Linked DNA regions of Arabidopsis thaliana. The protein of the gene in region 1 interacts with the protein of each later gene in a pairwise test. Each region holds a gene or a part of one and is shown in the gene's direction. Other genes may lie near its edges. The genes, in order: AT2G41760 and HDG1.

Region 1 (6,482 bases):
TGATATCCAGATTTAACTGAATATTTTCTGGACTTTGTAAAGTGCCAACCAAGAGTATCCTCCGTAGTTGACGCACCCAAGTGCAGAGCACTTATTAGTGAAACATCTTCTGGGACAAAAAGCTCATTTAATAAGTCAATCTTCCAGAAATTTGTTCGAGTGTCAATAAGACTTTGAACTTTTAGGCATGGATCAATAACTGAGCCATTACTTTTTGCTGGTCTCGGGAATTGAGTTGGAATCCACGAATCCTCCTAAACTGAAATGGACGCCCCAAAACCGACTCTTTTAATAAATCCTTTGTTAACCAGAGATCGATCAGAAACAATACTTCTTCATCCATAAGATGGAGAATATAATTTAATATTATCCAACGGATTGGATTTTCGGTAGTACCGACCTTTAAAGACCTTCGCAAACAATAAAAAAAAAAAATTTATCTATTTTTAGCTATTTTAATTAATATATTACCAATATTTTGGATTTTAATATAATATACATGGAAAAAAATAGGTCATCATTATACAATTGGAAACGTCGCTAATTTTTGTCTTGAAATATATATTGCATCTAAACTTATATATATATATATATATATATACTTACATACATTTATTGGATTTGTTGTACCATAAATAGCTACCAACCTAGACCTAGTTATATATAAACATTAACAAAAAAATGATGCAAATATTTGCAAGAAAAGATAGGTGAAATCATACTTGATTTGGATATAACCTATGTAGGTGTAGAATAGACCGTATAAGATCTTTTAACACAAATTAAAAAAAACTATCCAAATTCATTATACATAGTTAATATCATATAGAATGTTGTAAAAAAGAAAAGTATTTCGGAATAAATTATTTGATTTGGAGAGATTGGTCTCATCATTCGCTATTTCAGCATGACACGATGTCCTTTTTAGCATGTGAATTTGCACGATTCAACTCCTTTTTGAAGGATATGCACTTTTCGTATATTAAAAGAATACACTATAGTATTTCTTCGTAATAATATACTCTTTAACATGAAAAACAACAATCATGAATGAAATACAATAACCAGATAAATAGAGAACAGCCTTCTTTTCTACTTTTAGGCTTTTGGCAGATGTCATGGATGGATAATACTCCTTTTTTCTCTACTCTCGTTTTCAACTCAAAAAAAAAGAAGGAAAAAAAAAAGTTATGTCATGTATATAATCGTATTCGTAAATACATAGAAGAAGAAATTTCAGAATCAGCTACCATCATTCCATCAATGCTTTGCCAACTAGAGTTTGTTCAAACTCTTACAAACTTCTCTACTTGACTAATATAATTATGCATTTAAAAGTTCACCGTACCGTTTTCCATTTATATCTCTCCTTTTTGATAGTCTCATTCGCATATGATACACTTGACTTGAAACCTCCCAAAAAAAAAGGGTACAAAGTGTAGCTTCTATATGACCGATGGTACATAACAGACTTTCGACTACCATGCACTTAACTAGGATCCAAATCCCTCTCCCGTAGCCTATTTCACAATATATCAGTGAATGTTTTTTTAAGGTGTTCAAAACAAAGTTGCTATACTTGATAAATCGATCATTGTTTTATTTTGTGTGTTGCCAGGTCAACTTCACGTAAACAAACAATAAATATCGAAAACAGATAAAAGTTATTAACTTGTACTATACCATCAAGAAATGAATAAAAATTATAATTGAAGGTCACTCCATCGTAAATTAAGGAAAACGTAAAAATGAATAAAGAGAGTGCAATGTCCACACCGAATGAAATGAAAGAAATTATATGTTTTAAAATTTCGAGAAATATACTATGTATGGTTGATATATATATAATCGGTATCAAAAATATATATATTTTTTAAGTAAACTCTATAAAGAGATGATAGGAGTTTCGATCAGATATTTCCGATTGCATAGAATGAACAGGCTCGGTTTATTCTTTGAGCAGGGCCAAAACTAATGTAATTAAGTAAGATTCAACCTAAACAAATTAAAGTTGAAATCGTAACTTAGCAGTTTCATCTCTTTTTTCTTGACTAACAAGTTTCGAGCTTTCAATTCAGAATTTATCTAATTCTGAAATTAGTATTTGTGCCGTACGTATTACGTAGCATAGATCATGTTTGTTTTGAAGTTATTCGGACAACGACCAACGATATCGATTAGCAACCAACAATACATTTCTTCATTCAAAATAGTAAGTCAGACTTATTTTGATCTCCAATTCGAATATGGACCGTAAAAAGGAATATGAATTTACAGGAAACGGTTTTAATGATTGAACTTGTGTGCTTTAGGAATTAGGCATCTATATATTATAACATCGGTACTAAAAGGCCTAAAAACATATCATGTGATTCAGTGAGTGTCTAGTTTTTTAAAAAAAGTGTCACCTTCATTTATAAATCTCGAAAGTTAGTTATATGATCGCAAAACAATCCACGACCCCCTCACCTCTATTTCTCACTTCACGTGGAACAAGGTCCCATGTCCCATTATTTCTTCTTTTCTAGTTCATAAAGTTCATCATAATCTATCTGTTCCACACACACAAATATATTGATTGATTTGTCTACTCCAAATTCGCAAGAAAACGTGAATAAATTTGAGAAATCACAGAATTATTTGATATTTTGTAAATTAACTAATTATTGATATAGAAGAACAAATTAATACAATGGACTAATGTCATAGAGCAATTTTTTTTTGCTAAACTTCAGGATTTAACTCATTCTTCTTCTTGTTCAAGTGGTTGCTGATTCTGAAATCTCTTCTTCAATAACTTAGGTCTTGGTTTCATAGGCTTCAAGTACTTAGATTGAAATCTAACCATCTCTTTCAAAACACTAATCAGCTTCCTCTCTATTTCTTCACCGTCAGGTTCAATAGCTCCTAAGCACCGTGCCACAGCCTCCGCCGTAGTTACACATCCTCCGAATGGTTCCTTCCTTAGCACAAGCTCTGAATCGTAGATGGTTCCTCCACTCACTGATGCGTCTATTTCCGTATCCAAACACACTCTAACCGCTCCTGCTTCTCTTAACACCACCTCGCTAGCTTTGACCATCTCCTTCGCGTGTTTCCACGTCGCGTCGAATACGATTAGTCTCAGCGGCGGGGGATTTGAGATCTCACGATGGTTTAAGAGGTTTAGGGATTTGAATTCGGATATAGTGACGGCGGGAGAGGAAGGAGAAGAAGGGAAGAGGTAGATTGTTGGCGGTGCTGGGAGTGCGGTTCCTCCGGCGGTGGAGATGTGACGGCGGAGGAGACGGCGGGCGGGGATTCTGGTGACGTTTAGTAAGGATTTGGTAAGGAGAGGAGTGGTGTTGAGCTTGTGGCGTGACTCGTGTGGATGGTGGAGGATGATGATTTCTGTATTCGTCGGAATTAGATCCGCTGGTAAGACGTGGCAGAGACAAATCGCATTTGGGCGATCGCAGTTGTCGCAGATCTGCCGGCGATGATGCGCGTCTTGCTCGTCCTCCATCGTCACTGCTCTGTCACGCGAGCATTCCAACATTAATGGGAAATTAGAAAAAATAAAATAATACGCTGTCGTTTTTGGTCTATTAGAAACACGGCATCGTTTAAACTAAGTTTCTGAACGACGGCGTTTGACCCATTCACGAATACGAATACGATTACGATTGTATTCACTACGTCGTCGTTTGGTCTGTTCACGATACATCGTCGTTGGGCATTAACTTATTTAACTCTCTGTCTCTTCTCCGGTCACCATTTACCCAATTGTACACGACCACTTTTTAGTTTTGACGATTAGATGATCAACGTTGCTGGAAGTAGGAAAATTAGATAAGAGTACTGATCAAATCCTAAGAGAGAATGTCCGGCGTCACCTCGGAGCCTATTGCTATGGATGCCACTCGGTTCCAGCACACTCCTTACTACTGGTATTCTTCTTCTTTTAAAACAAAATTTCTCATCGATTTAGGTTTCTTCAAATTATAGAACGGTCTCTTCTACATGTTCTATGTAACTTCCGAATCCAGATTACTCGTTTTAGAGGGTTGTAGTTGATTATTTTGACTTATGGGTAGGAGTACTTAAGATAAAGATGTTGACTTTTTCTTGTAGCGAAGAGAATGTGTATCTGCTCTGCAAGACGTTGTGCGAGAATGGTGTAGCGGAGGCAACGTGTTCTGATTTGTTTGTTGTTTTTATCTCCAATGAGAAGAAGCAGGCAAGCTTGTTGCTCTTTATTAATAATTCTTATCTTTGGTCTTGTTTCATGTTGGAATTACATCACCGTTACGAAGTCGTTTGGTAATCAGAGTGTGTATATTTCAATGTCCATTGTACTGATTTGATTTTCTTGTAGGTTCCACTTTGGCATCAGAAAGCTAGTACCAGAGCTGATGGGGTTGTACTGTGGGATTATCATGTCATCTGTGTCCAGGTAAACCTATAATGTCCAAACCAGTGATGTCAGTTTTTAGAATTAAACTTGGTTTTTGTTTTGTATTCGCATGAATATTGATTAGAGGAAGAAAGAAAGTGATTCTGAGCCTTTGGTGTGGGATCTTGATTCGACTTTGCCTTTCCCTTCACCCTTAGCCTCATATGTGACTGAAACTATCCAGCCATCTTTTCAGCTTTTCGCAGAGTACCAGAGGTAATCTATAACTTTCACATCACTGTACCACCAAGTAATAGATATCAGGGTGCCAAAGCAGTAGCCTTTACTTTTCTATCACCGAGAAACTATATAGGCTTCTTTATCTTCTTGTGTTCCTGAACCGTATATTTATCCGCAAAACAGTTTATGAAAGGCATAAGGAGCAATATAGATTTGGATAGGAAATTCAGCATCATGTAATTGTAATGTAGTTGGTTTTTTCTTTTTGTTTTGTTGAGATCAGGTTCTTCCGCATTGTTCATGCTCCTCTGTTCTTTAAGCATTTCGCTTCCGATAGAAGACACATGAAAGAACCTGATGGAAGTTGGACTGCTCAACCTCCACCCTATGAACCCATTGTTGCCCAAGGTAAGATGTTACTTTTTACCCTTTCATCAACAATATTCATCTGCTCAGCTCGCTTTTGTCTTACTTCTGAAGATGGAATCTTGCACAATTTGAGCGAGTACATTGCCATGAGCGGTGCGGATACATTGTCAAGCTTGGATCCCGAAACAGTGACAGCAGCAATTTCACAGAAACTTGGTGTTGTGGTGAGCCACACTCAGCTTCAGGATCTCTTCACCAAGCTTCCTTAGCATTCCAATGTCTTTTTCTTATGGGATCAAAACTGTGTCATTACTTGTATATTCAGGCATGTTTTCAGTTGTCTTTTTGTCTTTATTGATGAAGCAGAGACTGATTTTAGATGGGGAAATATCATACACTCACAAAACGTATGGTTACAATGGAACATTACATGACTTTCTTCACAACCCCCAGAAGAAAAAAATTCTGAAAAGGGAACCAATAAGAAAAGAATCAAAAACACAATTTTTGTATAACTCTGTTTCTATCATTGCATTACTGCAAGCTCTATACCCTGAGTCCATCATACCAACTCCATCAGAAGCGGGTCGCCCTCAGCCATTTGCTGAACCAATTTGATGAAATCTTGTTCGCTTGATATGCTCCACGGGTGAACCGCAGGTGCTTTAGCAGAATACAGACTCGAAGAAGTGTTAAACGAAGCTGATTTCCTCTTATATACCATTGAACCGAGAACCGGGTCAAAATTCTGAGGCGAATCCATAGACAAGAAGAACATTGGCACAGCCACTTTGTAATGCAAGTCCATATCGCCCACGAGATCAACAAGATCGATAAAGTCAGTTACCAGTCTTTTAGGCACATAGAATACCTCTGAACTGCATACTGTTAAGGTCTCATGATTGTTCTTGGTGGCGTCCTTGTAGTTAACTTGGAAATGAGCTGGCATTGTACTTACAGTTTTCTTCACTAACTCTGCTTGTACAGAAAACCAATCAGAGTTCCCGGTCGGTTTCACTGATGTCCAAGACTTTGATACCTAAATCACCAGTTTACAACAAGACGTTTCCTTGTCAGATACACATATCAAGATAGTAGAACAAAGAGAAGCTGAAAATATTGATGAAAATGTTGTACCTTGTCTGTAGTCCAAATCTTAGATTTGTCAGCTTGAAGTAGATTCCAGTAATTGAGAACTGTATCATCTTCAACAAACAAAAATCCTTCTGCGCTGCTGTATCGATCAAATATCTTTGGTAGATGCCTGAAATATACATACAAACTTACCGTTAGAAGCATGAACTTTAAACAACATATACATAGTAATCTTGAGAATATTCATACTTGTAAATGTGATCGAGTTTGGCTTCTTCTACATAGAGATCTGAGTTCTTCTGAGAAGAAAGTATCACAACAGTTTTGAATATCCGGCCATAAAGTAACCTCCACTCGAGTGCGGTACGTTCAACGGGACCGTTACAAAACATAACCAGCACAA
Region 2 (8,946 bases), on another chromosome or scaffold:
TGGAATATCTTGCAAGTCTCAAATCGAATCTGCTGCTGGACATCCATCTTCATGATCACGTTGACACACTATATGATCAGATAAGGAAGAAGGCACTGATCCAGTACACATTGCCATTTGTCTCTGTTGATTTGAGCAGGATGGCCGATGCATTCAAGACTAGCGTCTCTGGTCTAGAGAAAGAACTTGAAGCCTTGATCACAGACAACCAGATTCAGGTCCGTAGTGTTTCCCGAAATAACTTTGTTTTATGTTACTGTCATTTTAAAAACCTTAATAGAGGCAAAATCTTTTTTCCATCCCGGACAGGCAAGGATTGATTCACACAACAAAATCCTCTATGCAAGACACGCGGATCAGAGGAATGCAACTTTCCAAAAGGTACTTCAGATGGGAAACGAATTCGATAGAGATGTCAGGGCGATGCTGTTAAGAGCCAACCTCCTGAAACATGAGTATCATGCCAGATCGGCAAGGAAACTTTGATGACATCTGCTTTGCTAAACTGAGAGGTAATGGCCTATTCCAAGATCATAAGATATCTGTTAAAATTTAATTTGGTTTAGTTACTGGTTAGCTTTCTATCTGACCTTCTCTGTTCTCTAGTTATCGCTTTGTTTTGTCAACTTTTAGTTTAAGATTCTTTGAATTATCTATGGACTTTGAATGAAATCCCGAGTGTGAATCTATAGACGCATGAATCACACTGAAAGTGAAATGGTCAAAGAGTACAGACATAAGTACACACACTTGGTTTCATGGGCCGATATGATTTATGATCTTTGTATGCATGTGGGTGGTGGGATCAAAAATCTCATCTCCCAACTAATATCCATTTCATTTTGTCAACTAAACGTCGTATATTATATGATAGTTTGTGGCTTTGTGCACAGTTGTCACTCTATAGTTGAAGACTTTTTTTTTTCTTATCTACAAGAAATAATAATCAAAACGGTTAGGTCTTTTTTTTATAAGTAGAATCTCGAAAATTGCAAAACCAAGATTTGATGTCGGCAAACGCATCATGTAGACTAAGTGTGAACTTTTGATTTTCTTGTGTCAAAGAACTTTTGATATTAATCACTCGATAGCTACGTTTCATCATTATTAGTTTCTTCTATAGAATTTTTATCACTGAATGGGATAGTTCACATTATCTGGTACTATTATTTTTACTATTGCAAGTAGTTCTTTTCTATGCATTTCTTTGAAGTTGTTCTCTTTGTAGTTTGAGGTATCTTATATATATATATTTCTATATGTTTGTGTTTGCCAGGAATATTCAAGGGTGTTTTTTCAAGATTCGAACCAAACGAGAAATTGGGCAAGATTACTTTTTTGTAAGAACCAAGTGTTTCAATGAGTCGATGACATTTAGAGTAAGTAAAGGTTTTATTCTAAGATGGACAGTCCATTATTAATCAACTATTGAATGATATTGCCTTTTAAATGAGTCTTAGGTAGCATCGCAATAACTCCATGTTTACTCAAAACTCACAAACCATGAAGTTAAGAATCCGCCAAATTTGGAAGATGGGCCAACTCTAAATTTACTCACCCCAATACTCCATTTATTTTGGGTTGCATTGATGAAAGTAATTTGTATAATTGATAGGTTGTGTATCAAAAACCGGATCTCATTATTTGTGATCTTTGCATTAGTTATTTTTGGAGACTAATAACCATCTTTCTAAACTGTGAGTAATACAAATATAAACAACTTCTTGTTCGCTATGGAAAATAAAACATAACTCTTTAGGTACGATTCACGATGCAAAAACAATAGTCATCGTGAATAAACATGTCCGAAATACATGAATTAACAAATGAAACGCTCAACAAATGAATTGACAAATGAAACGCTCAACAAACGAAGAATCTCACATCCCATGATGAAATTGGGATTTACAAATAAAAAGTAGCACAAGAAGAAGGGGGTAGAACAGTAATTTTAAAAGAAAGACAGCGTTGATTCACCACTTGAAGTGGACTTTTATAGCAAAAAGAGTTGAGTAACGTCAAAAGAGTCAAACCCAACTTTTCAAAGGTTGTGTAAGGCTTTCCATGACTCCACATCTTCTTCTTTTCCCTTTTTATCCTTTTCTCTTCTCTCTCTTTTATTTTTTCTTTTGAAGTAAATTAATTTCACGAAACAAATCAGAGAACCTTTTATATCTTCCTTTTTCGTCGTTACTATCGTCCTTTACCTTTTTCATTTACTGTTCTCTCTCTCTCTCTATCTCTATCTCTATCTTCTATTCATGGACATGCACCGAAGCGACAAAGCTTAGGGCTTTTCTCTCATCCATGGCGGATTTCTTCTATCTTCATTAAATATTTCCCTCTTTATTAAAATCTCATGAATTTCAACGGTTTTCTCGACGACGGTGCTGGAGCCTCAAAGCTACTCTCTGATGCTCCGTACAACAACCACTTCTCTTTCTCCGCCGTAGACACCATGCTCGGAAGCGCCGCCATTGCTCCTTCTCAGTCTCTTCCTTTCTCTTCTTCAGGCCTCTCTCTCGGACTCGTAAGCTCACTATCTCCTCTTTTAATCTTCGATTTCTTCTTCTTCTACTACTTATGATAATCTCTGTAAATTTGGCAGCAAACAAATGGAGAAATGAGTAGAAACGGAGAGATTATGGAGTCAAACGTAAGTCGTAAGAGTAGTAGAGGAGAAGATGTAGAAAGCAGATCTGAAAGTGATAACGCTGAAGCTGTCTCCGGTGACGATTTAGATACCTCCGATAGACCTTTAAAGAAGAAGAAACGTTACCATCGTCACACTCCTAAACAAATTCAAGACCTCGAATCGTAAACTCACTATACACAAAATCTCCATTTACACTTCTACGAATCGTTTTGATTTTTGATTTTGATGAATCCTCCATTTTTAGGGTTTTTAAAGAGTGTGCACATCCAGACGAGAAGCAACGTCTTGATCTTAGCCGTCGACTTAACTTAGATCCTCGTCAAGTCAAGTTCTGGTTCCAGAATCGTCGTACTCAGATGAAGGTTTTTAGCTTCGAATCGCTAATCTTTGTTTTCTGGTTTCTTTGTTTTGATTTTTGATTTGTTTTTACAGACTCAAATCGAACGACATGAGAATGCTTTGTTGAGGCAAGAGAACGATAAGCTTCGAGCTGAGAATATGTCTGTACGCGAAGCTATGAGAAACCCTATGTGTGGTAATTGCGGCGGACCTGCCGTTATCGGTGAGATCTCAATGGAAGAGCAACATCTGAGAATTGAAAACTCTCGTCTCAAAGATGAGTTAGACCGAGTCTGTGCCTTAACCGGTAAGTTTCTTGGCCGGTCTAATGGTTCACATCATATACCGGACTCAGCACTTGTTCTCGGCGTTGGTGTTGGTTCTGGTGGATGTAATGTTGGTGGTGGTTTCACTCTCTCTTCTCCGCTGTTGCCTCAAGCTTCTCCTAGATTTGAGATTTCTAATGGAACCGGTTCTGGTTTGGTGGCTACGGTTAACCGTCAACAACCGGTTAGTGTTAGTGATTTTGATCAGAGATCGAGGTATTTGGATTTAGCTCTTGCGGCTATGGATGAGCTTGTGAAGATGGCTCAGACACGTGAGCCGCTCTGGGTTCGAAGCTCGGATTCTGGTTTTGAAGTGCTGAACCAGGAAGAGTACGACACAAGTTTCTCTCGGTGTGTTGGACCAAAACAAGATGGGTTTGTCTCAGAAGCTTCTAAAGAAGCTGGAACTGTTATCATCAATAGCTTAGCGCTCGTTGAAACCTTAATGGACTCGGTGAGTAGTTACTAAAACACTTAATTTTAGTAATGAGCTTAATCCAGCAAAAGTTCTAGAAAGTACTAATCTTTTGATACAATGTTTTTTATAGGAACGGTGGGCGGAAATGTTTCCTAGTATGGTCTCAAGAACTTCAACCACAGAGATTATCTCTAGTGGCATGGGAGGGCGAAATGGTGCACTTCACCTGGTATGTAATTATGCGTTTAACATTTAATTAACACATATAAAATCTTAATTCAACAAATGGGTCTTTTAATGTTTTGTTTTTGGTTAATTAGATGCACGCAGAGCTTCAACTGCTGTCTCCACTCGTGCCGGTTAGACAAGTGTCGTTCTTGCGGTTCTGTAAACAGCACGCGGAAGGTGTTTGGGCAGTCGTGGATGTCTCAATTGATTCCATTAGAGAAGGTTCTTCTTCGAGCTGTAGAAGATTACCATCCGGTTGCCTCGTACAAGACATGGCCAATGGCTACTCAAAGGTAAAATTATTCTTTCTGGGTGATGATTATTTGTAATAGTAGTATACTGTATAGTTTTAACTTTTCACCTTTAGGAGTTACCCTAGTGTTGGTTGGTTCACATTTCTCTAGGAACCACAGGCAAGCTCTTTGTTTTTGTCCGAGAAATTATGATAAAGGTTTCTTATGCATTGGGTTTATAACTTTAAATTAACTTATGCATTGGAGTAGGATTATTTTATTGATCAGAAGCATCTAAATATCTCCGAGTTCTGTGCCCTTGGATCGTGCATTAATTTTTATCATTACACGTTCATAGAAGTTTTTCTCTTTGATTATCATTAATTATGTGTTAAAGCTGACATTAGACCTAAAAAAACGATTGTGATAAACCTAACGCAAAATAGTTTAAGAAATTTGCAGGTAACATGGATCGAGCACACGGAGTATGACGAAAACCACATCCACCGTTTATACCGCCCATTACTCAGGTGCGGTCTAGCGTTTGGTGCGCATCGATGGATGGCTGCATTACAACGTCAATGCGAATGCCTCACGATTCTCATGTCCTCCACTGTTTCCACTTCCACTAATCCATCCCGTAAGCTCCCTCAAACGCTGCGTTTCTGATTTATTTTGTAGAAATATATATTTGTTTGTTGTTGTTGACGTGATTCATATCTTATCCTACCAGAATAAATAAGATTTAATAAATAGTATGAACTGTTGACTGAGTCACAAAGAAAAAGATGATAGCTGTTGATTCTGTAATTATCAAACTATATAGTTTAATTAATCTTTTTTTGGTTATATTAATGGGCACAGCTATAAACTGCAATGGGAGAAAAAGCATGCTAAAGCTAGCGAAGAGGATGACTGATAATTTCTGTGGAGGGGTTTGTGCTTCGTCGTTACAGAAATGGAGCAAACTCAACGTTGGCAACGTCGACGAAGACGTTAGGATAATGACTAGGAAGAGTGTAAACAATCCTGGCGAGCCGCCTGGGATAATTCTAAATGCGGCGACGTCAGTTTGGATGCCGGTATCTCCGAGGCGGTTGTTTGACTTCCTTGGAAACGAACGGCTTAGATCGGAATGGGATATCTTATCCAACGGTGGACCAATGAAAGAGATGGCCCATATAGCTAAAGGCCATGACCGTTCCAACTCCGTCTCCCTCCTCCGTGCCAGCGTAAGCATTCATATTTATTACACTTTCTATTTGCATGCGTAAGTAGCTAAGCTAATCTCCAAATTTTAGTTTAGGTTTTGGTGAATTTAGTATTTTATAAACATTAGATGGTTTTGGAAAACTTGAAATTTTAGTCGGTTTAGTTTTTTGTTTACGGTTTTCAACTTTTTCTGATTTTTTTGGGTTGGTTTTAGATAAATTAAAGTTAAACCGACTTGTGTGGACATTGAATATTTGATCTATAAACAGTGTATGAAAGGACTTTGTTGTGTTGTGTGACCCCAGGATGGTGTTGTCATATGAATCTTGTCGCGTGTGATTGGAAAGTGACAAATCTAGAATTTGGAAGTATTGTGTGATAAAAGTCAATAGTAATAAGACATTTTTGACCTTTTTCTTTCCTTTTTGGCTCCGACGTTTTGAAAAATCCTCTGTTTTTTTCTCTCTTTATTTCTGCATTATTGGTGTCTTTTCTCCGTTGTACCCCTTGAGCTTTTTCTGGCTTGTGACGGTGACACTGTAAAAGTCTCCTCGTTCATCATCTTTTAATTTATTGTTTCCCCTTTTGGGATTTATAATTTTCTCTTCTACCACCAAAGTTTCCATTTATTTAATTTTGTTTTGATTTTTTCATGCAGGCGATAAATGCGAATCAGAGTAGTATGCTGATATTACAAGAGACAAGCATAGACGCTGCAGGAGCGGTTGTCGTGTACGCGCCTGTTGATATCCCAGCAATGCAAGCTGTGATGAACGGTGGAGATTCTGCTTACGTGGCACTCCTTCCTTCAGGATTCGCCATTCTCCCTAACGGTCAGGCTGGTACGCAACGCTGCGCCGCAGAGGAACGTAACAGTATTGGTAACGGTGGGTGCATGGAGGAAGGAGGGTCGTTACTAACGGTGGCGTTTCAGATACTGGTGAATAGTTTGCCTACGGCTAAGCTAACGGTGGAATCTGTGGAGACGGTTAATAATTTGATATCGTGCACCGTTCAGAAGATTAAAGCTGCTCTTCATTGTGATAGCACCTGATCATCGAGATCAGACGATGGAGGAGATTGAGTCAAGAACGAACCTCATTTTGTGATGAATCCGTTTTTGTGATGGTTCGGGTATTGACTCGATGAAATTTAAAAAAAAAAAAAAAACAAAGAATGTTGTAATTTGGATCGGTTTTATTTTGGATCATGTCGATGAAATGTAATTGTTTCTTGTTTCTCTTCTTGTAATGACTCGATAATATCGGGACAGCATTATATGAAACACACAAGTTTTTTTTAGGGGAGCTCAAATAATTAGTTATAAGCAAAAACGTATTATCATTTTTTTGGTTATAAATCAAGGCAACCAGAAGCACAATCCGTGTTTACTTTTGTGGTAGTTTATAATGTGAAAGGATTGGTTTGGACCGTGTCCTTTATTTAATGTTGTTCCAAGTTTACAGTACTTTTCTCAATAAGATGGAAAAGGAACGAACGAAGAAGAGTGAAACACGTGAGTGCATGAATTTAGTTGCAATCCCTTATAGTTATTATATCCATGCAATGTAGACAACTACAACGAAAGGCTAATTGATTAGGTTGGTTTAGAGATTGTTTGATAATGCTAGCCTAGATCCAAAGGTCACATCAGAAGAGACCACAGGCTACTAATGGGCTTTTATCTAAAGCCTGTCATTAACTACTCTATTATGGCTACCAAGTAAGTCTTCTCAAAGTGTATTGGGCCAATCATTAACTAATTTATTGGGCTAGATTTTAAGTCCATTGGAGTATATACTATTATTACAAACGACAATAATATTATTATTACAAACGGGCCGAAAGAAAAGAGTCAAAAGGAAGAGTCAAACTTCCGAATAATCCGCGCGCTTAACGTTCGATCGCCACCGTTGAATGAACAAACGGTCACGATCGTATCTAATACAGATTATTTAATTCCATTTTTTTCTTGTGGGGTGATGATCTCTGAACAGAAATTAAGGGTATGAGAATGATTGATTGGTCTTGGAATTGTGTAATAGACCAATGGCGAGAAATGCCATCTGTTCTTTTTTAGTTTAAGCTATATCCGCTCCGCCGCAGAGATATATATAGATATTTCTATAAATATGTTTTTGTATATATACACAGAGAGTTTTGATTAAGGAAGAAAAATCCTTAGATCATTTTTTTTTTGTTATCTTTGTTTCGTTTTTCTGGTAGAAGAGAGAAGAAGGAGAGACGAATTGGCAGCTAAGCGATTCTCTCTCTTTCTCTCTTTCTCTTCTCGTGTAATCTTTTGGTGTTCTTGAAACCACTTTTTTTTTTGTTAATTCCTCTGTTTCCTTGGAATTGTTTTCTGCTTTTTTAAGAAGAAAAAAACGATGAATGTGGTGCGGAGATTAACGAGTATTGCCTCTGGACGTAATTTCGTTTCTTCTGATAACGTAAAGAATATTGAAACTTTTTGAGTTTTTTTTGTTTGTTTGTATTTATTTTCTTGATTTGGGGATTGTTTAAAGTTGGACTCTTTTGTTTTTGTAACTTGCGTAGGTAGGAGAAACTGAGACGCCGAGATCAAAGCCTAACCAGAATCGTGAAGAAACAGAGTCTACGGAAACTACGTCGTACGAGAAAGATTCTGTCTCTTCCTCAGAGAACTCTGATCATTTACCAAAGGAAATCCGTGAGGTGGGACTTGGAGATGACAAGGTTTCCATTTTTGAGATTTTTTTAGCCTTTTGAGTTTCTGATTTGCTTTGTTTCTCTGATCTTTGAGCTAATGGTTCAAATGGATTTGATAGGATATGGACTGTGGAATCATCAAGGGAAATGGAACAGAATCTGGACGGATTATTACCACCAAAAAGAAGGGTTTGAATGATCAAAAAGACAAGGTGACTTTTCAGTTTTGGCTTGTGTTCTTTGTAATGACACATTTCTAAAATTGTTCTCCATGAAAATCTGTTTTTTTATATATTGTTTGTTATTATGCAGACAATCTCTTACAGAGCTGAACATGTAATTGGCACTGGCTCATTCGGTGTTGTCTTTCAGGTAAATAAAATTTAGACTCGAGATATTTTATTTAGTTGTTTTAAAAATTTGATTTTGAAGTTGATTCCTGGTTTTGATGTAGGCTAAGTGCTTAGAGACGGAAGAAAAAGTAGCAATAAAGAAAGTGTTACAGGACAAGAGATACAAAAACAGAGAACTTCAGATCATGCGAATGCTTGATCATCCTAATGTCGTTGAGCTCAAGCATTCTTTCTTTTCCACGACTGAGAAAGACGAGCTTTATCTTAACCTTGTTCTTGAGTATGTACCCGAGACTATTTACCGCGCTTCCAGATCTTACACCAAGATGAATCAGCATATGCCTTTGATTTATATTCAGCTCTACACCTATCAGGTATTAAGACCGTGTACTCTTTTCTGCATTCAGCTCTATTTTTGACTTTTGGGGTTCTGAGAAACATTTGTTTGTTGAAACCAGATTTGCCGTGCTATGAATTATCTGCATCAAGTGGT

What was found.
Region 2: the proteins of AT2G41760 (region 1) and HDG1 interact in a two-hybrid assay, tested with the Arabidopsis thaliana proteins (one large-scale study listed by BioGRID).

What each region holds. Positions count from the first base shown.
Region 1 is NC_003071.7:17,419,003-17,425,484, forward strand, and holds AT2G41760 (amino-terminal glutamine amidohydrolase), read left to right. Parts: upstream 1-2,686; 5' UTR 2,687-2,743; coding exon of another isoform or gene 2,744-3,538; 5' UTR 3,539-3,861; coding exon 3,862-3,929; intron 3,930-4,113; coding exon 4,114-4,219; intron 4,220-4,357; coding exon 4,358-4,435; intron 4,436-4,520; coding exon 4,521-4,651; intron 4,652-4,898; coding exon 4,899-5,023; intron 5,024-5,095; coding exon 5,096-5,253; 3' UTR 5,254-5,369; downstream 5,370-6,482. Other genes in the region: AT2G41750 (DTW domain-containing protein), read right to left, coding at 2,744-3,538; AT2G41770 (transmembrane protein, putative (DUF288)), read right to left, coding at 5,547-6,023, 6,122-6,248, 6,329-6,482. UniProt on the Arabidopsis thaliana protein: Mediates the side-chain deamidation of N-terminal glutamine residues to glutamate, an important step in N-end rule pathway of protein degradation.
Region 2 is NC_003074.8:22,628,410-22,637,355, forward strand, and holds HDG1 (homeodomain GLABROUS 1), read left to right. Parts: upstream 1-1,921; 5' UTR 1,922-2,359; coding exon 2,360-2,530; intron 2,531-2,608; coding exon 2,609-2,817; intron 2,818-2,900; coding exon 2,901-3,018; intron 3,019-3,088; coding exon 3,089-3,775; intron 3,776-3,869; coding exon 3,870-3,968; intron 3,969-4,059; coding exon 4,060-4,260; intron 4,261-4,662; coding exon 4,663-4,840; intron 4,841-5,064; coding exon 5,065-5,432; intron 5,433-6,070; coding exon 6,071-6,466; 3' UTR 6,467-6,746; downstream 6,747-8,946. Other genes in the region: FUS6 (COP9 signalosome complex subunit 1), read left to right, coding at 1-218, 310-486; AT3G61160 (Protein kinase superfamily protein), read left to right, coding at 7,800-7,862, 7,969-8,127, 8,220-8,312, 8,413-8,472, 8,555-8,827, 8,912-8,946. UniProt on the Arabidopsis thaliana protein: Probable transcription factor. Promotes cuticle development probably by modulating the expression of the downstream genes BDG and FDH, possibly repressed in a CFL1-dependent manner.